Cricetulus griseus: one gene and its partners. The main gene of each other region encodes a partner of the protein of the gene in region 2 in a complex. Links are inferred from orthologs where the notes say so. Each region holds a gene or a part of one and is shown on either strand. Other genes may lie near its edges.

What was found.
Region 1: the proteins of Kcnab2 (region 2) and Kcna2 are in contact, whole or in part, in a crystal structure (PDB 5WIE), measured with the Rattus norvegicus proteins. The link is inferred for Cricetulus griseus from reciprocal best matches to the Homo sapiens genes KCNAB2 and KCNA2. Residues at the interface, in NP_059000.1 of Rattus norvegicus: Met193, Met196, Tyr199, Ser200, Arg203, Glu231, His234, Lys235, Ile236; in NP_037102.1 of Rattus norvegicus: Asp28, Glu33, Pro62, Met66, Phe69, Asp70, Pro71, Leu72, Arg73, Asn74, Tyr76.
Region 3: the proteins of Kcnab2 (region 2) and Kcna1 are in contact, whole or in part, in a crystal structure (PDB 1EXB), measured with the Rattus norvegicus proteins. The link is inferred for Cricetulus griseus from reciprocal best matches to the Homo sapiens genes KCNAB2 and KCNA1. Residues at the interface, in NP_059000.1 of Rattus norvegicus: Met196, Tyr199, Ser200, Arg203, Glu231, Lys235, Ile236; in NP_775118.1 of Rattus norvegicus: Glu37, Met70, Phe73, Asp74, Pro75, Leu76, Asn78, Tyr80.
Region 4: the proteins of Kcnab2 (region 2) and Kcna3 are in contact, whole or in part, in a cryo-EM structure (PDB 7EJ2), measured with the Homo sapiens proteins. The link is inferred for Cricetulus griseus from reciprocal best matches to the Homo sapiens genes KCNAB2 and KCNA3. Residues at the interface, in NP_001186789.1 of Homo sapiens: Met196, Tyr199, Ser200, Arg203, Glu231, His234, Lys235, Ile236; in NP_002223.3 of Homo sapiens: Pro133, Met137, Phe140, Pro142, Leu143, Asn145, Tyr147.

The regions. Positions count from the first base shown.
Region 1 is NW_023276806.1:50,031,169-50,036,345, forward strand, and holds Kcna2 (potassium voltage-gated channel subfamily A member 2), read right to left. Parts: upstream 3,130-5,177; coding exon 1,630-3,129; downstream 1-1,629. UniProt on the Homo sapiens protein: Voltage-gated potassium channel that mediates transmembrane potassium transport in excitable membranes, primarily in the brain and the central nervous system, but also in the cardiovascular system.
Region 2 is NC_048595.1:3,941,321-3,946,602, reverse strand, and holds part of Kcnab2 (voltage-gated potassium channel subunit beta-2), read right to left. Parts: intron 3,139-5,282; coding exon 2,901-3,138; intron 1-2,900.
Region 3 is NC_048601.1:19,842,090-19,847,007, reverse strand, and holds Kcna1 (potassium voltage-gated channel subfamily A member 1), read right to left. Parts: upstream 2,996-4,918; coding exon 1,508-2,995; downstream 1-1,507. UniProt on the Homo sapiens protein: Voltage-gated potassium channel that mediates transmembrane potassium transport in excitable membranes, primarily in the brain and the central nervous system, but also in the kidney.
Region 4 is NW_023276806.1:50,097,065-50,102,425, forward strand, and holds Kcna3 (potassium voltage-gated channel subfamily A member 3), read right to left. Parts: upstream 3,209-5,361; 5' UTR 3,109-3,208; coding exon 1,522-3,108; downstream 1-1,521.

The DNA of each region.
Region 1 (5,177 bases), on a different chromosome or scaffold from region 2:
GAAAGACAATTCTAATGTCTAGGAGTCTATGAACACTGGAGTGTGTCTGAGGCAATGACAGCAAACCCAGGTCCAGTGGGTTTTACCATACCCATTGGGCTTCTTATACAACCAACCCACCAAGCAATGGATTTGCTCCTGAATCTGAACTCCAGAGAATGAATATATATATATGTGTGTGTATAATGTACATATACACACATTTGTGTATGTATATATATATTCTAGTGCACATAGTCAAACACATGCATAAATTGCCCTGTGTCAAAATATTGCATAAGCTTATACAATGTTCAAATGCAATTTTTCTATAGCTTACTAGAGGAACACATGAGAAAGATAGATAGCTGATATATATTTATATACATTGAACCCACAGATCTGCCTGTCCTCAGGATCAATGCCCTGGTAAGCTTTGTAGTCATGCCCTTGACTAGACTAATTCTTAAGTTTCAGTCATCTGAGTGTTTAGACTCTGACTTTTCTGTTCAATTCTCCTGGTGTGGCAGGGTCTTTGCTCCCATTGAAAGAACAGAGATGGGCGGGCTGGAGGGCCAGCCAGAAGTTTTGGTTCCCCATTCCAAATAGTCTATTTGCTTCCCTGATGGAGGGCTTTTGCCTTCTGTGGGGGGAAAACCCAGTTCAATACCATCCCAAGGCTATTAATACTCTATGTATGAATACTGAATAGGATACTAGGAAAATAGGTTATCTTCTGTGTTTTAAATATTGAGATTTCATGCAGTGAACACCCATGCAGCTCTATTGCATGACTGGTATACTCCACTGCAGTGTAGTGGAGCTGGGCCACACCATCAAGAAAGAATATGTCTGCAAATTCCAGAGTAAAAGAAGAAATCAAACATGTTCTGTGACCCTGAGGCTTGCAAAATGGTATCTGAAACTGAGAAGTCCCAAAATTAGGTAGCTTCTCCCCATAGGCCTAAGGGAACAAATGTAAAACTTGACAACTCATATTTGGTCGTATTAACTGTCCCTCCCCCACCCTCTGGGCTTTCCTCACATTGATACTGCAGAGAAAAAGCAGAATGCAGCATTTCCGTTACGAAACAGAAGCCTCTGGAGCATCTAGTTGGCAACTGCAATTCACAAACCTCAGCCTATGACACAGAAAGTAATTCTAACACACAGGACTGTCTGTTCTTTTCAATGCAAAAATGGGAATGACCTTTGGAGTAGTCTCCAGAACTCTCAAACTCAGCCATGATGGTGTTCCTCTGTGAGGGGACAGGTGGGCTAAAGTGGGATAGTAGGGTGTGGTAGGGAGAATGCACCCGCCAGGTGTGCTTGCATTTAGTTAGGAAGCTAGGATGGTGATTACGATGGGTGGTGTGTGGGCTATGAGGGGGCTGCATTATTCCAGTCTGAGACTGGCTCCATAGGTGACTCCCATCTTTGGAACCCTGTAAGTCAGTGATGAAGATTTCATGAAAGCCATGATAAATACTCTGTGTTCTAAATCAAAAATCAAAAGGTCAAAAGTCACTTGCACGACTATTGCTTTCCATGCAGAACCAGATGCACACTGTGGAACACTGACTACAATGCAGGCTATTATGCAACATCTGCATTAGTCCTGTTGAGCTGTGAGCACATCAATAGGTTTCATCAGACATCAGTTAACATTTTGGTAATATTCACATAGTTGGTGTTAGCCAATGTACAGTTGGCTGTCTTTAAGTTTTCCTCTCTAAAGTCCTCATTACTGTTGTTTACTCCCTCCTGTATTTCCATGTAATCAGACTTACTTATAGTAGAGGCACTTCTACTTTTCTTTAGGTCAGGGGAGGACGGGATCTTTGGACAGCTTGTCACTTGCAAGTACTGGGCCTGCTCCTCTCCCTCTGTCTCCCGATGGTAGAAGTAGTTGAAATTAGACACTATGACAGGGACTGGTAAGGCAATGGTTAACACACCTGCAATTGCACACAGGGATCCCACTATCTTTCCCCCAATGGTAGTTGGAACCATGTCTCCATAGCCTACAGTTGTCATGGAGACGACTGCCCACCAGAAAGCATCCGGGATGCTGGGGAACTGGGAATCTCTCTCATCAGCTTCTGCAAAATAGACAGCACTAGAGAAGAGGATGACCCCAATGAACAGGAAGAATATCAAGAGGCCCAATTCCCTCATGCTGGCTTTGAGGGTCTGACCTAGGATCTGCAGACCTTTGGAGTGTCTGGACAACTTGAAAATCCTAAAGACTCTTACCAAACGGATGACACGGAGAATGGCCAGTGACATGGCCTGCTGGCCTTGCTGGGCGTCCTCTGGCTTCTCAGCTAACTCTGTCCCCAGGGTGATAAAGTAAGGGATGATAGCCACAATGTCTATAATGTTCATGATGTTGGTGAAGAAGCCAGCTTTGCTGGGACAGGCAAAGAATCTCACCAGAAACTCAAAGGAGAACCAGATGATGCAGAGAGTCTCTACGATGAAGAAAGGGTCGGTGAAGGATGTGGACTGCTGGTACCCAATGGTGCTGTTGGAGTAGGTGTGGAAGGTCACCCCACCACCATGCATGTCCTCATTCTCATCCCGGAAGATGGGCAAGGTTTCCAGACAGAAGCTGACGATTGAGATCAGAATGACCATGACGGATACAATGGCTATAATCCTGGCAGGCCCTGAGCTCTCAGGGTATTCAAAGAGAAGCCACACCTGTCTCTGAAACTCATTTTCAGGCAGAGGACGCTCTTCTTCCTTGATGTAGCCTTCATCCTCTCGAAACATCTCCATTGCTTCTTCTCCTAGCTCATAAAACCGGATTTCTTCAGAGAATATATCTAAGGGCACATTCACAGGTCGCCTCAACCTGCCCCCAGACTGGTAGTAGTACAAAATGGCATCGAAGCTAGGGCGGTTGCGATCAAAAAAGTATTCATTTCGGAGGGGATCGAAGTACCTCATCCGCTTCTTGGGGTCCCCTAAGAGGGTCTCTGGAAACTGGGCTAAGGTCTTTAGCTGAGTCTCAAACCGCAGGCCTGAGATGTTGATCACCACCCTCTCACAGCACTCGTGGTCTGCCTCTGGGTCATAGGTGTCCTGTGGGTGTCCAGGGAGGGCAGCAGCCTCATCCACTGGGTCTCCGGTAGCCACTGTCATAATTGGGGCTGAGGAGAGTACTTTACTCTATGCCTTCCAGCTGCTTGCAGCAGGGGGCTCAGGGTGCTGGTAACTGGGCCCCAGAAAACACAGAAGCATTAGTCTGTGCTCCTGCAGGAGAGCCCCAGAGCCCTCTGAGAGCTGGAGACACAGCCTCGCTTGGCTGAAAGACAAAGGCAGGTAAGGATGTGAGACCACCAGTCACTGGCAACCTGACATGAACTGTACTTGGTGTCCCCCATCTTAGCTAAGAGTTCAGAAACAAGACCATATCACCATCCCTGCCACTGTAGCTACTTTGCAACTTGTCTAGGGATCAGTGGGGTTCAGGGAACAATCTTTCAAATATAGAATGGCCTGCACTGGGGGCAGGTGACCTAGACAGGCTCCAGCTCCATAGGGGGGAGGCAAGAAGAGAGCCCTCTGCCAGGCACTGTGCTAATGTCTTGCCAACACCTGCACTACAGGAAGTATTTATGGTAGGGTGTTTGGGTCCAGGGTCTTTATCCCTGATATCACCCTCAATAACTCTATATGGCTGTTATTGGTTTATTGGTTTACCTGTCCAGGCAGGAGAAGCCTGAGGTTCTCTTCCTTGAAGAGCAGGTCAGATGCCACAGGAATCCTAGATACCCAAACAGGCAGCTCAACTCCCTGTCACATCTTCTCACTTGGGCTGGAAATAATGGTGAGTCATTCTGAGCAGGAGGGCAGGCTCCAGATCCTGGAGGTGTGCTCTAGGACTGGATAGGGCTGGAGGGACAGTTGGATGCTTGGCAAGGGGCATTCAGGACTTGAGAAGAGTGAAGCCTGGGTCTGAAGTCTTTGGAAGGAAGGAGGTAAGATGCACAGCTCAGCAAAAGCCAGAGAACTCCTGGCTGTCCTCAGGAGGTGTGACGTTGCCTGGAAAACACAGCAGCAAGGTGGAAACCAGGGCTTTCAGGCAGCTGGAACCAAGACTTAGAAGGACTCTGGCAGATACCCTCTCTGCAAGTTGCAAGCCCCCGTGCCTACTTTCCATGGTGCTAGTGACAGAGAACTGCCCTGTACCTTTCTAGCCTCTCCTGGGTAAGCCTTTCCCATCAGCTTGAAGCACTTTTCTCCGCTTAGTCCTCTGCTGCCACCAGGAGCCACCCAGCTTTCTCCACCCTGGTGTCAGAACACCTATCCCCCAAGGGGAGGCTTTTCCTCTCTGACCTTAGCTATGTCCCATGAAGAAGCAATCCTTCCTCCTCCAACACACACTCTTGCCCAGCTCGAGAGACCCTGCACACAGCCAGATCGCCTCAGTAGAATGCTGGATAGCTATGGTCGCTGAACTTACTCTCCCTCCAGGATCCCTGGGCCTCAGGGGATCCCTGAGCCTCAGGCCTTGCTCTGGATTGGGTGGCATTTGAACTGGGCAGGCGCTGGACCACCGATTTCTTCCCAAGAGAAAATCACTCACATCTCCGCAGGGAAGCACAGAACAAACGCTCAAACTGCCTGGCTGGCTGCAAGGCGGATTGGCTTCTTGGAGAGAGGGAGCCTAGAGGAAGCTGGCTTCCGGGCTGGCCCCCCGCCGACCCAATCCCGCTGGCCCCAGGGCGGGGAGGGGTCTAGGCCCTCTCGCATCGCCAGGAGCTCCAGCCGGGATTCCGCCGGGCGCGCTCCCGCCGGAATCCGCGCGGCTGACCGGAGCCTGCAGCTATCCGCCGGCTTGAGTGTACCACCTTAACCCCTTCCTGCGCAGTGCGGTGGGCTCCCGCTGCGGGCCCGAGGGCAGCCTAGCTAGTGCCAGCGAGGTCCAGCTTAGGGACTATCGAGGGCTCGTCTGGAAAACACAGGAGCCTGAACTCTAAAGGTGCAGAGGAGGCTTCGCCAGGCAGCTGCCCCAGATCTAGCTTCCTCTTAGGCAAGGGGGTTCCGCGGCAGCCCACCACCCAGGCCAAGTGGAAAAACAGCGACTGCAGAAAAGCCTATTTTACTCCGTTGCCAAGAGGCAAATGCAACCAGGAGGACCAAGTGACTCGCGTCCTACCCACCCACTATTTACCAGACATGGCTAT
Region 2 (5,282 bases):
GCAAGTTTTTGCCTGTCACCCCCTAAAAACCTTTACCAGCGCAGTAGTGCTGGAGCTGGGATTTGGACCTAGGTCCTTACACGCTGGGACACAGTGCATGCTCTTGGAGAAAGAGCAGCTTTAGAATTAGGCAGGTGAAGATTCAAAACAAGAGGCTGGGCCCACCTGTGCCTGTGGCTGAAGAGTTGTGGGTGGTCAAGAAACAGATGAATTTCCCAAAAGGCCTCTCTCTTCTCCTGTGCCTGGGTGGGGACAGGGAGTGTGGCTACGCGTAGTGTCCTCATCTGCCGTCCTTAGGGACACTTTTACAAAAGTGGGGCACTGCTCCATGCTGTAATTACCCTGCTCAACTTGTTTCTCATTAAATGACGGCATTGGTCCTGCCATCTGCTGCCCGGCCTCCGGAGGGGACAGTCACCTCCAGGGTGAAAGCTGTATATGCAGGGCTTCAGAGAGTGGGCAGGGAGTATCACAGAGCCAGGCCTGCATGGTGGCTCTTACCACGCTGTCTGCCCAAACTGCAGAATGGAAGAATAATCTACATATTCCCTTTCTTTAATTAAAACCTGATGCAATTATAAGAGAATTGGTCAAAGCCCCTAAGCCTTTCTCAGTGTTTTTTTGTCTCTCTCCTGAGGTTTGGAGGCCTCTCAGGCATCACCTTGGCCAGAGGCAATGCAGATTGACTCCAGCTCCAACAGCTGTGCCTCAGGCTTCAGGAAGGGTCTGGGAGGCAAGGCCCCAGGAAAGTCTTTAAAAAAGAGTTCTGGGCTTTTCATTTCAGCTGCCAGGGAGGAGGACAAAGGCTGGCTCCAGTAAGGGCAAGGCGCTCTACTCTCACTATGGCTAAGGAGTGAGAGGGACCGGGGTTCTGGTGGCATCTTTCTCCTGACAGCTTGGTCTCCTGTACTGGGTGTGGAGCTATGCACAGGTCTTCCCTGCTCCCAGACTCTGGATGCCCAAGGTCAAGCCTGAGCCCTTCCTGTCTTTATCTTTGGCCTAGAATGGAGTCCCAAGGGAGTGTTAGCTGAGGGACAACGATTTTGGTACCATTGGGAAATGAGCAGGTACACGTTCAAGACCAGACCCTCATCCCCAAGCAAGGCAAGAGCTGCGAAGCTTCAATGGACAAGTATGCCCGGAGTGTCTGTGGGGACGGGGAGGTGGACGTGCCAGGATCAGCCCATCCTTGGTCCCCATGGCCCTAACTAACATGTTGGATGTGGCCTTGAGGCAGTCACTGTGTGGCCACTTGTGAGGCTGATACCCACGGGGGCCGATAGCAGAGTGGCTCTTTAAAGGGACCCGTGGACCCTGTGTTACATATCTGTTCTTTCTGCTTTAGAAAGCTGCACATCCTTTACAGGGGTATGGTCCCCATCCCTCCAGATGACATCAAGAACAGACAACCAGGTCCTGCTCTGGGGGAAGGCCCTACTCTGTCATTCCACAGATGGGGCACTGCATCTGAGAAGAGCTGGGGCTGGGATTTGAACCCAGGTCCCCAGACTGAAAGCCTTTCACTGCTGGGTCTCACCATTCCTGTTTTTAGTGTATGCATGTACACACACACACACACACACACGCACACGTACACGCACACAGACACAAGTACGAAACCACAAATATAGGCATGTGTGCACATAGACGCACATGGGTATACACTCAGACGCATGCACACAGATACACAGACACACATGCACACAGACACACATGCAGGAACATACACACACAGACATGCGCATGAACACTATGCACACATGATCATTGGGAGCACTTGGGCTCTTCAGATCCACTTTTCCTTTCACTTAGAGCTCTACATGTGTGGAAACAGATACACTAGTGTTCAGTCCTGGCAAATCTCTGACTTCAAAGTCATACCAGGTAACAAGAATCTCAACAAATACATACATACATACATACATACATACATACACACATATGTACATACACATATACACACATACTCCTATTTAGCCCTAGCTTTTAATGGTTGCCGAAACAAAGATACACACCACAGAGAGTTTATCCAGCACAAAGAATTCCATTCTGATTGTCCCCACCAAGCTCATAGGACAGAAAAAGAGTTCTTTACCCAAGATTGCTGAAGAACACCTAACATCCCGAGGACCTGGAGAGGCCAGGAGGTTTGAGTGCAGATGCAGGACCCCAGCCTCATGCCAGCGCTTACCATGATGCAGCCTCAGCCTCAGGGAAGGGGGCTCCTATATATCTGGTCCTAGGGAGGTTTAAGCTCATCGTGATACCAGCTAGGAACTTAGGGGACCATCCTGCAGTCTGCGGGGACCGCCCGTGCTTGGACTGTCCGAGGTCACTGGGAACTAACTGCTCCCACTTCAGCTTCAAGAAGCCCTTCCCAATAGGCTGCCTGGGTGCCAGAGCATGCCCTTGACCTGCTCAGCCTGCACAAACCCGAGGAAGATCCCTTTCCCTGGAGACTCCACATGGAGCGGGGCCCCATCCCCCTTTCCTCAGAGCATATTCTTCAGGTGCCCAGTTGCTCAGGTCCTAGGGCTCTGAGTCTTACCTGGGAGCGAGAAGGACCTGTGATCTTAGCAGAAATGGGGGGTAGCAGGGAGTGGGGTATGGCTGATGCCCTGGGGTCAAACAGTGACTGACGTCTGATGAGGTGACTTACTATAGGATCTGAGTCCAGAAAAGAGATAAAAACACAGAGAAGGAAGACGGTGACTATATACCACCCTCCTCTGGAGCCAAGGAGAAGAGACTTGGACTTGATCAAGTCTCAACTTACTTTTTAGCAAGTCTACCAGGGCTAAGAGACCCCCTGTACAAACTGCCCCAGCTGTCTTTTGGCGAGATTTGCAGAAATGTGGGAAGGCCAGTCCCCTCCCCACAGAACTGGCTGCTCAGCCTACCTATATTTCATCCCTGGCTGCTTCACGCTGGTGCTGGTGTCGTTGCTGTTTGGGGCACTCTGCACGGACAGCTGTCCCAGGCTCCGGGCGACCATAGCCACGGCCCGGAAACGTCCACGAGTACCCGGGCTGGGACTGCCGGCTGCCGTGCGGCCCAGACGATCTTCAGGGCTGCGTGTCTTGAGGCTGTGCTCCGAGCACACAAAGGACACCTGCATGTTGAGGCCGGGCTCAGCTCCTGCCGGATTCAGAAGTCACTGGCTCCTTAGGAGTCCTTCCCTGTCTCTGATGAGACTTTATCCCCGGAGGTGAAAAAGTGGCGGGGAGCGCGCTCAGAGAGAGGATTTCTGAGGGCAAGAGAGGACCAGCCTGTGCAGCCGAGTGGAGGGCATCAAATTTCCAGATGATGCTAGATGAGCCCTTGTCTGAGAGGAGTCGAAGATGGAGCGGGGAGCTGGAGGTCCAGCAGGGAGGAGCCATGCCTCACATCCCCACCCCCGTTCCCTCCTGGCTTTCCCTGTGCCACCCTGCTCTGGTCCTGGCTGTTCCACGTCCCCGGCAGTCTCCAAGAGTGCACTTCTGGACTGGGCGGCACAGGACCCACGACTGATGGGCACAGTCGCCTTCCTCTAACAGGAGTGGAATCCCTTCTTCATGACCTCGCTGCTGGATGTATTCCGTGGGGTGGCCGCTCTGGGGGGTCTCAGGGAGCAGCTGCTTCTCCAGTTCCTCCTGCCTGGCTCCTGGCTCTGCACATGGGGTGCCAGAGGCTCCTGCTGAGCCAGTGAGTGGCCAGCGAGAGGCAGTGCTGGAGTCATTATTCATGAGCAGGGTGCACAACCACCTGCCCTGCTGGTCCCTAGGGGCTGGTGCTGGCAGCTCCAGGCTGACCTGCAGCCACAAGCTGGGCAGGCAACGTTGGCTCAGGTGTGTGTGTGTGTCAGGAGCTAGTGTTCATCTCTATCTGCTCAGGGCCAAGGTACCAGGAAAGGGGACATAAAGCAACCACTGTGACATGACGACCCAGGAAAGAGGCCGGGTCAAAGACACCAAGGGACCGAGCAGTACAGGTTAGTACTTATTTTACATCGGGCACCCGTCTTCTGGAATGAATGAATGAATGAATGAATGAATGAATGACCTAGGCTACCCTACCATACCCATCCTTAGCATAAGGAAGGTCTCTCACTGAACCTAGAGCTCACTGATTCGGCTAGGCTGGCTGGCTATCCAGTCTCAGGGATCCACTTGTCTTTGACCCCTTCTCCAAGCACTGGGGCACACGCCACCACGCCTGGCTTTGTATGTGGCTACACCTGGAGATCTGAACTCAGGTCCTACACCTCAGGCACTGGTTGAGCCACCTCCAAGCCTGTGTTCCACCTTTGGGGACAGCTGATAAGAGTGACACCTTAGGCTCACTGGGCAGCCTCTCAGACTTCACCACCCTCAGGAATAAAGATCTGAAGATGTGTTCTAGGCCAAGCTTGGCAGGCAAAGTACTCAAAGCCTGAACCTGGTTAAGTGCTGAAGATCAAAAGCCAGCAAGCAAGCAAGCAAGCAACCAAACAAACAAAAAAACCCAATGAACAAACGGTATGCACTGGCAAGATCTTGTCACAGAAACTCTGGCTTCCCATGGTGGGAATCAGCCACATGACCCTATAGTGTAGCCCCTCCTCCCTGTATGCTTACTCCACAGGCCAGCAAAACCTTAGACCCCCATGAGCTCAGGCCTAATGCAAAAGGAGGACCCAGTCCCCGAGGGTAGAACTGGACCTGGGCACAGCAGTTGGGAGGATAGAGTTGGTGCCTTTACCAAGGATGTCCTGGAAGGTCACACAGGCGCCGCCTACGGAAGCCAGCACAGACCTAGCTCTGTTCCTCCTGCCAGCAGCCCACTTAGGCAGCAGGGTTTGTTGGCCTGAGGCCCTGTGCTCCAGATAGCCTGGGACCCTTTTCAAGCAAATTGGGTGCAAGAGAGGTTGGGAGAGGGCAGTTAAATTTCTTGCAGCCTGGTGCCTGGGACCCACAGGGGGACGGCCTGGCCTTTCAAGGAGCATGTGGCTGCAGAACGCAAAGCATGCATTTGTGCCCTTGCTTTGGATTGAGCAGGGACAGATCTTAGCTTTGTAGCCTCCCCTGAATATGCAAAGCCTGAGCCCAAGTAGAGAAAACAGAACTTAACTCTGGCTAATGACTCATGGGACCTTTTAATACACACCCTTTATTTCTTAGAGTTTTAAGCACCGCTGTGTGCTTGGCATGGCCAACACCTGGTCAGGAACTCAGGGGACCCACCCTGTTGCACCTGGCTCAGACCTCCTGTTTCAGTGGCTCTGGAGTGGTTCCCAGAGGTGGTTTTAAAAACGACGTATTTTT
Region 3 (4,918 bases), on a different chromosome or scaffold from region 2:
AAAAAGAAATCAGCTCTGCTCTGGGTGCATGAAGAGATAAACATTGTCACTTACATCCTAGGAATGCACCAAAAAAAAAAAAAACATGCAGTATTGCACCTTTTTTTTGTTTGTTTCGCTTGTATTGTTCAGCTAGAAAGAATGCTTGTCTTAGGTGTATTAAATACCTTGATGACTTATTTAGTTTTCCACAGTTTTCCCTTAAAGGATGGGCATATTGGTCCTCTCTCTGCCTATACCTGCACAGAAGCTTGACATTTCCCTGAGCAAAGGCAGGAAAATTGACGGGAGTGTTCCCCCCACCCCCTCCCCCACCCCCATTGTTTCTTTTGGGCCTTTCATCCCACAGACTTGTGATTTTTTAATATTTTCTAATTTTTATTACTGAAATCATGCATTAATTAAGTCAAGGTACATCTTAATCAAATAGGCCATAATGCTGACTAAGAGGACATGCTTTGAGCTCCAAAAGGGGATTCTTCCCATCTGACTAACATATGCACTTAAATACAGTACTTTAGTTGCTAAGAAAAGAGTTAATAAATGAAGGAGTGCACTTTTGGTGAATGCAAATGAAAAAGGGCCTATATTTAGAAGAGTCAATTTCAACTTAAGCTTATTCCCTATTGTCTGGGTTAACTGTCTCGGCATGCTATTATAAAATAAATGTTATCAGATTCAAACATGCTTACCATTTAACTCTTGTGCTCTTGCAATAAGGAGGGTAAGATGGTAAGTTTTTACATCCACTTCTGAAGGTCAGGGGTCAGGGTGCAGGATTAGTGAGAAAAGACCTATATTTGGATCATCTGCAGTTGAGAGAACTTAGCAGCCCTACAGATGAATCAACTTGTTTAATCAAGTTACCCTTTTCTTAGAGAATAGACTGTATTTAGGAGAATGGGGCAGATGGAAAATCCCAACAGACTGGGACCAATAACAGATGTATAAGGTGCTTTGGGAACCAGTCTTAATTAGTCTGATTTTGGTTGCCTTATATGCAATTCAGTTGATCAAAAGAAAAGCATTTGTTCACTGACCACTGAGGCTGTTACGTGTTCCACAGAGTACACTATCTGAAATGTGGTGTGCAGTGTGCAAAAATTTGAGGGTGGAGTCCCATGCAAATTTGAACTTATATTCCTAAGTGGTCATCTGATTTTTAGGTGTTCTTTTTTTAAAAAAAAAAAAGCCTATGGCAAAAGATTGGAAATATTTCAGTACAGGGAAACATGAGTCTTATTTCACATGGACTCCTTAATGGACAGCACTGAAGCCAGTTTTAGAAAATACTTTCTTTTCTCATTTTTAATAAAATGAAAATAGGGGTTTTTTTTAATGGATCTTGAAAGCCTCAGGTTTGCCACTCCCCAGATTCACAATGCAACAATGCATTGACAGTTAAATAAAGCATTCAAAGACTAATGTTTAGTGAAGTATCTACAGAGCGGGACATGAGTCACCAGGGCTTTTGTTTGGGGCTTTTTGCTTGCTTGCCTGTTGCTTTTTAAACATCGGTCAGGAGCTTGCTCTTATTAACGCAGTTTTGGTCAGCTGTGGTGCAGTTACCAGTTCTGATATTGGCCTGTCTGTAATGGGCTATGCTATTGTTCATATCCTCTTCGATTTCCATGTACTCAGATTTGCTGATAGTAGAGGAGCTGCGGCGGCTGAGGTCACTGTCAGAGGCTAAGTTAGGAGAGCTAACGTGGAGCAACTGAGCCTGCTCTTCCCCCTCAGTTTCTCGGTGGTAGAAATAGTTGAAATTGGACACAATGACAGGTACGGGCAGGGCAATTGTCAGCACACCAGCGATGGCACACAAGGAGCCCACGATCTTGCCTCCAATTGTCACAGGGTACATGTCACCGTATCCCACAGTGGTCATGGACACCACCGCCCACCAGAAAGCATCGGGGATACTGGAAAAGTGCGACTCAGCTTCTTCCGCCTCGGCAAAGTACACTGCACTAGAAAACAGGATGACCCCAATGAAGAGGAAAAAGATGAGCAGCCCTAACTCCCTCATGCTAGCTTTGAGGGTCTGGCCCAGGATCTGGAGGCCCTTAGAGTGGCGAGAGAGTTTGAAGATTCTGAACACCCTTACCAAGCGGATGACCCTGAGGATGGCCAGGGAAGTGGCCTGCTCGCCTTTCTGATTCCCCTCCTGCTCAGCTATCTCCGTGCCCAGGGTAATGAAATAAGGAATGATGGCCACGATGTCAATGAAGTTCATGATGTTCTTAAAGAAGTCCGTCTTGCTGGGGCAGGCAAAGAAGCGCACCACCAGCTCGAAAGAGAACCAGATGATACATAAGGTCTCCACAATGAAGAAGGGGTCTGTGAAGATGTTGGAAGTATAGATGACTGTGGTGTTGTCGATGCGGTGGATGGTGCCCGTGAAGTCCTTGTCATCCTTCAGCTCAGGGAGAGTCTCCAGGCAAAAGATGACTATGGAGATGAGGATGACCATGACCGATACAATGGCGATAACCCTGGCAGGCCCTGAGCTCTCCGGATACTCAAAGAGCAGCCACACCTGGCGCTGGTACTCCTTCTCAGGTAGGGGGCGCTCCTCTTCCTTGATGAAGCCCTCATCTTCCCGGAACTTCTCCATGGCCTCCTCGCCCAACTCGTAAAATTTGATCTCCTCGGAGAACATGTCCAGGGGCACGTTGACCGGCCTGCGCAGGCGGCCCCCTGACTGGTAATAATAAAGGATGGCATCAAAGCTGGGCCGGTTGCGGTCAAAGAAGTACTCGTTCCTTAGGGGGTCGAAGTAGCGCATGCGTTTCTTTGGGTTGCCCAGCAGCGTGTTGGGGAACTGTGCCAGGGTCTTGAGCTGCGTCTCGAAGCGTAGCCCGGAGATGTTGATCACCACGCGTTCGCAGCATTCGTGGTCGTCGTGGTCCGCCTGCCGTGGGTAGCTGCCATCCTGGGGGTGACCCGGAGCGGCCGAAGCCTCGTCCGCATTCTCCCCCGACATCACCGTCATGATGGAAGCAGAGTGCAGGGGTGGGAGGCCAGGAGAGAGCCCGGGGTGTGAAGGAGCGAAGGAAGAGGGGTGGGGGGGACCCAACCGGCCCCCCCACCGGAGAGTGAGTCTCCCCCACGCTCACGGGGAGGGGCTTCGGGGCCAGAAGGTTCAGAGGTCTGCAACTTTGCTAGTTACCACCTCCCCCTCCTCCACTCTGCCTTTTACCCAATTTGGAAAGCCCTCTCGCCTGAGGGCCCCCAGTGAGGCTTTTTCGAGAGGTTTGGGTTTTGGGGGTGTGCTCTGTTTTTGGGGTTGGTGGGTTTTTTTCTTCCTGCTCTGACTGCCTTAACGCACACCTGCCATCTCTCCGGGGCTCGCCAATGCACCCCTCCCCTCCTGCAGCCTTCCTAGGACCCGGTGCAGTGCCAACTCAGCAGATCCCCACGCCTGTCACCCCCTTTGCTGCTCCTTGGCTCTCCCCCCCTACCCCTCTTCGCCTGCCGCCTTCTAAGCTCCCACGGGGCGATCGATGGACGCTGCAGAGAAATAAAAAGTGATACCAGGGTAGAAAATCAGAAGCATTCCTATGGGACGAACCTATAGACACCGAAGAGCACAGACGACTAGCTTTTGTAGAACACACCGGACTTTTACTGGGGTTAACACACACGCACAGACAGACACACAACAGACACCCAGAAATCCAAGTTTGGAAATCTTCCATCCCACTTTCCCCCCCTGCCCAGCAGCCGATTCGTTTACAACTTCGTTAAAAACTGGAGATCGGAAAAGCGCTTAGAGATGCTGGGGGAGCTCCGGGTCCTGGGCAGCAACTTCTCACCCTCAACCTCCCCCACCCTGTCATCCTAACCTCGGATTCTGCAGCCCCGGAACTGTGGAGCTCCCTACCTGGCGGGCCGGCTTGGCGCAGGGGCGGTGCTGAGTCGGCGGCGGAGAGTCGGAATGCGGCAGGTCTCCTTTGCAGCAGTCGGAGCGAGCCACCTCCACAGCAGCATCCGAGAGGCACTGGGCCCCTCGTGGTCCGCGTCCTTCTCCTCTCAGGGGTCCGATCGTTTTACTGAGCAGCTATGGAGGAAATGTCCGTTCCCTGCCCCCATCCTCACATGGTGCAGGCAACCTGGGGGCTCGGTCCTCTCTCCGCTGCAGAGAGTTCCGGAGGATGCGGGATGGAAAAGCAAAAAGGCCACCCTCTCCCGAGTCACCCAAGCAAATGGCGATAAGCAGCACTCTCGCCCCCTCTGAACACTACAGGAGCCCTTGATTCGATCCCGAGAGAGGCAGGCGGCCCAAAGCCTGGCTCTACATGGCTATCGGGTCTCCGCACCACCGCACGGACCTCGCTCTGCAGCGCGCCGGGAGCCTTCAGCAGATCGGAGTGGAGTAGGGAGCATGCGGCCGCAGGTCCGCTCGGTCCATTTCTGGGCGCTGCAAGATCAGCAGAAACCTGAGAAAGCGCCTGGAATGCGGAGCAGCGATTGGCCCACCAGGGCGTGGGTTGGGGAGGGCGGGGGAGGGCAGGAGCGAGGAGGTAGATGGAAAATATGAGGGGGTGGTTTGGCAGAGGGGGGTTGTCATTCAGTTCCCATCCTTGCCAGCATAGCTTTTCTTCTTTTTCCCTCCTCTCCTCCTCGAAAAGCCCACCACCAACTCCTCTTCCTCGGTGGCCCGCAGCCCCGCCCACGCACAGCCCTTAGCTGAGCGCGCGACCTTCCCCGGGAATTTCACATTGGAGATGGTCAGGTCCGACGCAATGCAGGCGGCGATGTCGCTGGCAGAACTCCTTGGACCAGTCTGCTTCAGATGCAGTCACACAAGCAATCCTCCGGCATCCCGCTTCTCGGCGCCATCCCTCCCCTCCTCCAGGGGCCCCTCTGTCCCGCCCACCCTACTACCCCGCACCCCCTACCTCCACGCTACCCG
Region 4 (5,361 bases), on a different chromosome or scaffold from region 2:
GCTGTCTTCATTTCATTTGTTGGCTTCTCATTTCTCGGTGAAAGAACTGCACAGAAGCATCTTCAAAAATTGTTATCAAATAACTGGCATTTAATTCAGATCCTGCCTTATTGTGGTTTGAGTGTAACATGTAAAAGATGACATTTTTCTTTTTGATTCAGTCATTATGGGATAACATAAACGATTTATATAAAATGTAAAAGCATTTTGTGATTAATTTCACTTCTTTGTTGTCTTACACTTAATTTATGCCATTTATTGAAATAGTGTTTTTTTTTTTTTCTTATGAAATCATGTAAGTAGGAACCATCTGGAAAGGTTACTGTGGAAACGGCAAGGCCTGAGGGGGTGGGGCTAAAGAGCAAAAGATGCCATGACAACCTTTTTCGGGTTTCCCAGGAAACATGGGTTGCTATGGGAACTGCATCAGTCAGGTCCGAATTAGTAACTTCCGCTGGAAGGGGTGTCTGCCACTTTAATCTTCTTGTGACACCACATAAGCTTATCTCTCACATGCATTAGGAATTTTTGTTGTTTCTCTTGGCAGCACTGAAAACGAGTTTCTAGACTTTTGTAGATGTTGGTTGGGGCTTGTACTCGCAACTTCACTGGAAATTCGTGTGTAATACTTTAAAAATTCTTTGCAAACTCCAAAGGGTTAATAGTCAGATCAGGACATTTGGGCCATTTCCCTTTTGGTTCAAAGTTATTGTGAACCTCAAATTCTTAGAGGAGAGATTCAAACTGAAAGACCAGTCAAAAACAAAATAAATTCATGGTGGGTTTATAAGTCATTGCTTTAGACTTTCTGTCCACATATCCAAAGGCTGGATAATTAAACTAAACAGTCAAATAACAATGAAAGGTCCACCAAACAGGAGCATCATTTAAGTTCTGCCTCCTTTACTTAGTAAAGAAACAACTATCTTTTGATTTTGAGGTTAAACAGTTACTCTGACACTTTAGTTTCATTTCCTCCCAGGATGTAGTTTTTCATAGGGCGTGCACTAGAAACCAAGCTTTAATGTAAGCTTGTTGGTTACAAAATTAAAAGACGGGGGAAAGAGAGAGAGGAGAGAGAGAGAGAGAGAGAGAGAGAGAGAGAGAGAGAGAGAGAGAGAGAGAGAGAGAGAGAGAGAGAGAGAGAGACAGAGAGAGAGAGAGAGAGAGAGAGAGAGAGAGAGAGAGAGAGAAGAGAGAGAGAGAGAGAGAGAGAGAGAGAGAAGAGAGACAGAGAGAGACACACACAGAGAAAGAGAGAGAATGAGAGAGAGAGAGAGAGAGAGAGAGAGAGAGAGAGAGAGAGAGAGAGAGCTGAGAGAATGCAGCCCACTTGCAGAACAGGCACCTGTTTAAACACAGTATGAAGCAATAGGGAGAGGGAGGATGAAGTGTGCTTTTCCACCTCTTCACGTCCGTTCCTTGATGAATGGTCTGGAAATGTATAAATCAAGGGCACACACAGACCAAGGGGGCACGTTCCACATAATACTGGGCATAGTTTGTCAACTGAATCGTATATTAGACATCAGTGAATATCTTTTTAATGTTGACACAGGAGTTGGGATTATTGTTCGTGGTGCAAGTGGCAGTGGAGTTGCCCGTTTTGAAAGGGGTCTGGGGGAAAGCGCTGTGGTTCATACCCCCCTCTTCGATCACCATATACTCCGACTTACTCAGGGTGGAGTTACTCCGGGCTTTTCGGAGCTCCTCAGCTGAAGAGGAGAGGTGCTGGCAACTTCCCACGTGCATGTACTGGGCTTGCTCTTCCCCTTCTGTCTCCCGGTGGTAGAAGTAATTGAAGTTGGAAACAATTACAGGAACTGGCAGTGCAATGGTCAAGACACCTGCGATGGCGCAAAGAGAGCCCACAATCTTGCCTCCTATGGTCACTGGGTGCATATCACCGTAACCCACAGTTGTCATGGTTACCACTGCCCACCAGAAGGCATCCGGGATACTGTTAAAACCCGAAGAAGGGTCGTCTGCCTCAGCAAAGTAGACTGCACTGGAGAAAAGGATGACTCCTATAAAGAGGAAGAAGATGAGCAGCCCCAGCTCTCGCATGGAAGCCTTCAGTGTCTGCCCCAGGATCTGCAGCCCCTTGGAGTGGCGGGAGAGCTTGAAGATGCGGAAGACCCTTACTAAGCGGATGACCCTCAGGATGGCCAAAGACATTGCCTGCTGCCCATTACCCTGTCGCTCAGCCAGCTCAGTGCCCAGAGTGATGAAATAAGGAATGATGGCCACAATGTCTATGAGGTTCATGATATTTCTGGAGAAGGTGGCTTTACTGGGGCAAGCGAAGAACCGCACTAGCAGCTCAAAGGAGAACCAGATGATGCACAGGGTTTCCACCACGAAGAAGGGGTCCGAAAAGCTGGAGGCTCCAGAGGCGGCCCCCGACGTGCTGTTGCTGGTGGCCTCGAACACTTCCTGCGACGGGGAGGCGGGGTAGTCTTTCTCGTCGCGGAACTCGGGCAGGGTCTCCAGGCAGAAGATGACAATGGAGATGAGGATGACCAGCACCGACACGATGGCAATGCCCCGGGCCGGCCCCGAGCTCTCGGGGTATTCGAAGAGCAGCCACACCTGGCGCTGGAAGTCTCTGCGGGGCAGGGGCCGCTCCTCCTCCCGCAGGAAGCCCTCGTCCTCACGGAACTTCTCCATGGCTTCCTCGCCCAGCTGGTAGAAGCGGATCTCCTCGGAGAAGATGTCGATGGGCACATTGACCGGCCGGCGGATGCGGCCCCCGGACTGGTAGTAGTAGAGGATGGCGTCGAAGCTGGGTCGGTTGCGGTCGAAGAAGTACTCATTGCGGAGCGGGTCGAAGTACCGCATGCGCCGCTTGGGGTCGCCCAGCAGCGTCTCTGGGAACTGGCAGAGGGTCTTGAGCTGCGTCTCAAAGCGCAGCCCCGAGATGTTGATGACCACGCGCTCCCCGCAGCAGTCCTGCTCGCCCGCGGCGGGCAACGCGGGCGGCAGCGGCTCGTAGCGGTCGCAGCCACCGCCACCACCACCACCACCACAGCCTCCCTGAGGCGGGTCCCCACCGCCGCCACCCGCCGCCTCTGGCTCCAGCAGGTGGTCCCCGGGCACCACGGTCATGTCTGGCGGCAGCTCGGCGCGGCCGGGGCTCTGCAGGGTGCGCGCGCCCGCCGCTCGCGGGGTCCTGCGCAGGGTGGGCGCGGTGGCGGGTGGAGGGCTGCGGTGGCCGAGCGCGGGAGGCGGCGGTGCTCTTCTTCCTTGCAGGAGGTGGCCGGCCCCGAGTCGCTCCTCCTCGAGCTCCCCGCCCCACCGCCGCCTCCGCCCCGCGAGCCCGGCCCGCCGCCTGTTGCTGCGGCGGCTGCAGCGATGCTCTGTCTGGAGCTGGCTCGGCGCGCGGGGCTGCACGGTCCAGACGCCTCCTCCCTCCTCCGCACCCCTCCCCGCGGGGCGCGCGCCCGCCTCGCCGCCGCCCCCGGGTTTCCCGCCCACCGCGCACGCGCCCCGCCTCCCGCTTCCCGGCCGCGCTCCTTGCGGTTCTTTGTCACTGGATCTCTTCCAATTTGCACCCTCTTCCCCAGACCCTCCTGAACCTCTCGCTACCCGGCCAGACCGGCCCTGGAAAAACCCAGCTGCTTGGGCTTGGCCTCCTCATTCCTGGGCTGCACTTGCTTTTGGACAGCGTGCATTCCCTTCCCGCGCGTGGCCGAGTCCCAATCTCAGGGTTGTTGGATCTGTTCAAGGACCACACCTCGGCCCTCGGATTCAGGCCTCCTGGCCCTTCACACTTTGCCTGGGCAGGAGGAAGGGCAAGTTCCAGGAGAGTAGGGAGCAGACAAAGGTGGAAGGAGGGCCAGGAGGTGCCAGGGCTCCTGACCCAGAATGTTGTGGGAGGAGAGAGCGAAGGCTAAGAGGTTAGCGTGGGCAAGAGGTGAGTCTGGGGCCAGCATCCCGATTTTGGAGGGTAGAAGATTGCTAGAACCCCGTGTTTAGGTGCTGTAAAGGATTGTGTTTGGACAGGAAGCCCAACTGAATTAATGGGTACATAGGGTCTGAAGTCTTCACAGGGGTCTAAAGAAAGGGTCCTTAAAGGCATTCAGAGACTTCACTTTTGTAAAGGCTGGTTCACCCTGGACAGAATCAGGACTAAGTTCCTGGTTGGGATTAGCGAGGGCAGCCTGAGTTTAAAAGTCCAATTTACTTTCAGTAGGAAAATAAGAAGGGGAATGTTAAAGAAAATCCATCACACCTCATCTGTGTGGTTAGATAACTCAATTATTTGTCTGCTGTGGGACAGACATGAGCAGGCTGGAACCTAGATTTTATTTAATACAATGCCACCTGCCCTTGTGGTGGGACTTGCTTTAGCTGCTAATGTGGAAAAGCCTTCATTGTTCCCCTCTTGCTTGATTTGGGCCTAGAGAAAACATTTACCCCCTTTAAACTTTTTCTCCAAATTGTTGTGGTTGCTTAATTAGGCTTAAGCCTAATTTCTGTTACCAGATATTTTAGGTACCCCAAGTATAAGCACTAGCATTACAAAATTCTGTTTTGAATCATTGCAATCATTTGCAAAAGAGGAATTGACGTCTAGACATCTACTCATTCCTGGAAGTGAGCTGATGATTCAATTTGATGTAAGAGTGATTTGTTGCCATTCTTTGCTACCACCTCTCCCAGCCACCAAACTCAATGATAGAATGGGCTTGCCCAAATTCTGTTCTTAGCAACCTTCAACGCACCTTGGGAATCATGGGAACTCAATAGTTGAGTTGAATTCCCCAACAATTGATGCTTTGTATGTATTTCTGTCTGCTCCAGGCACATTTTTTTTCTGTTGAATTCAGTACCACACTGTGATACCTGGGATGAGGAGTGTGGTGATACATTGTTTATGATTTATTAAAGCTTGCCTGAGTATTCAGAAAGCAAAGTCATCCACAAGCCATAGAAGCCAGGCACACACCTTTATTCCCAGCAGCCAGAAGATAGGACATGGTGGTACATACCTTTAATCCTAGGACTCAGGATAGACAGATCTCTGTGAGTTCAAGGCCACCCAGATCTACACAAGAGTGAACCAATCTAAAAGCGAATAATAGCTCACACCATTAATCCTAACATTAGGGAAATATGTAAGACAGAAGCAAGGTCTCAGGCATTTGTTCTTCAGCCACACTGAGGAGAGGCAGCTGTTTGAGATTTGGTGAAGAGCTCATGTGTGGATCAGCCCTTTTAGCCTGATCTAGAGGTGGAGGTTGGCTGCCTTGCTTCCCAGATCTTCAGCTTGAACGCCAATAATCAGTCTCTGGGTAATTTATTTATTCGTGTTGCCGAGGAGTGAGGGGAAACTGAGCAGGCAGTATAGTCACCCTA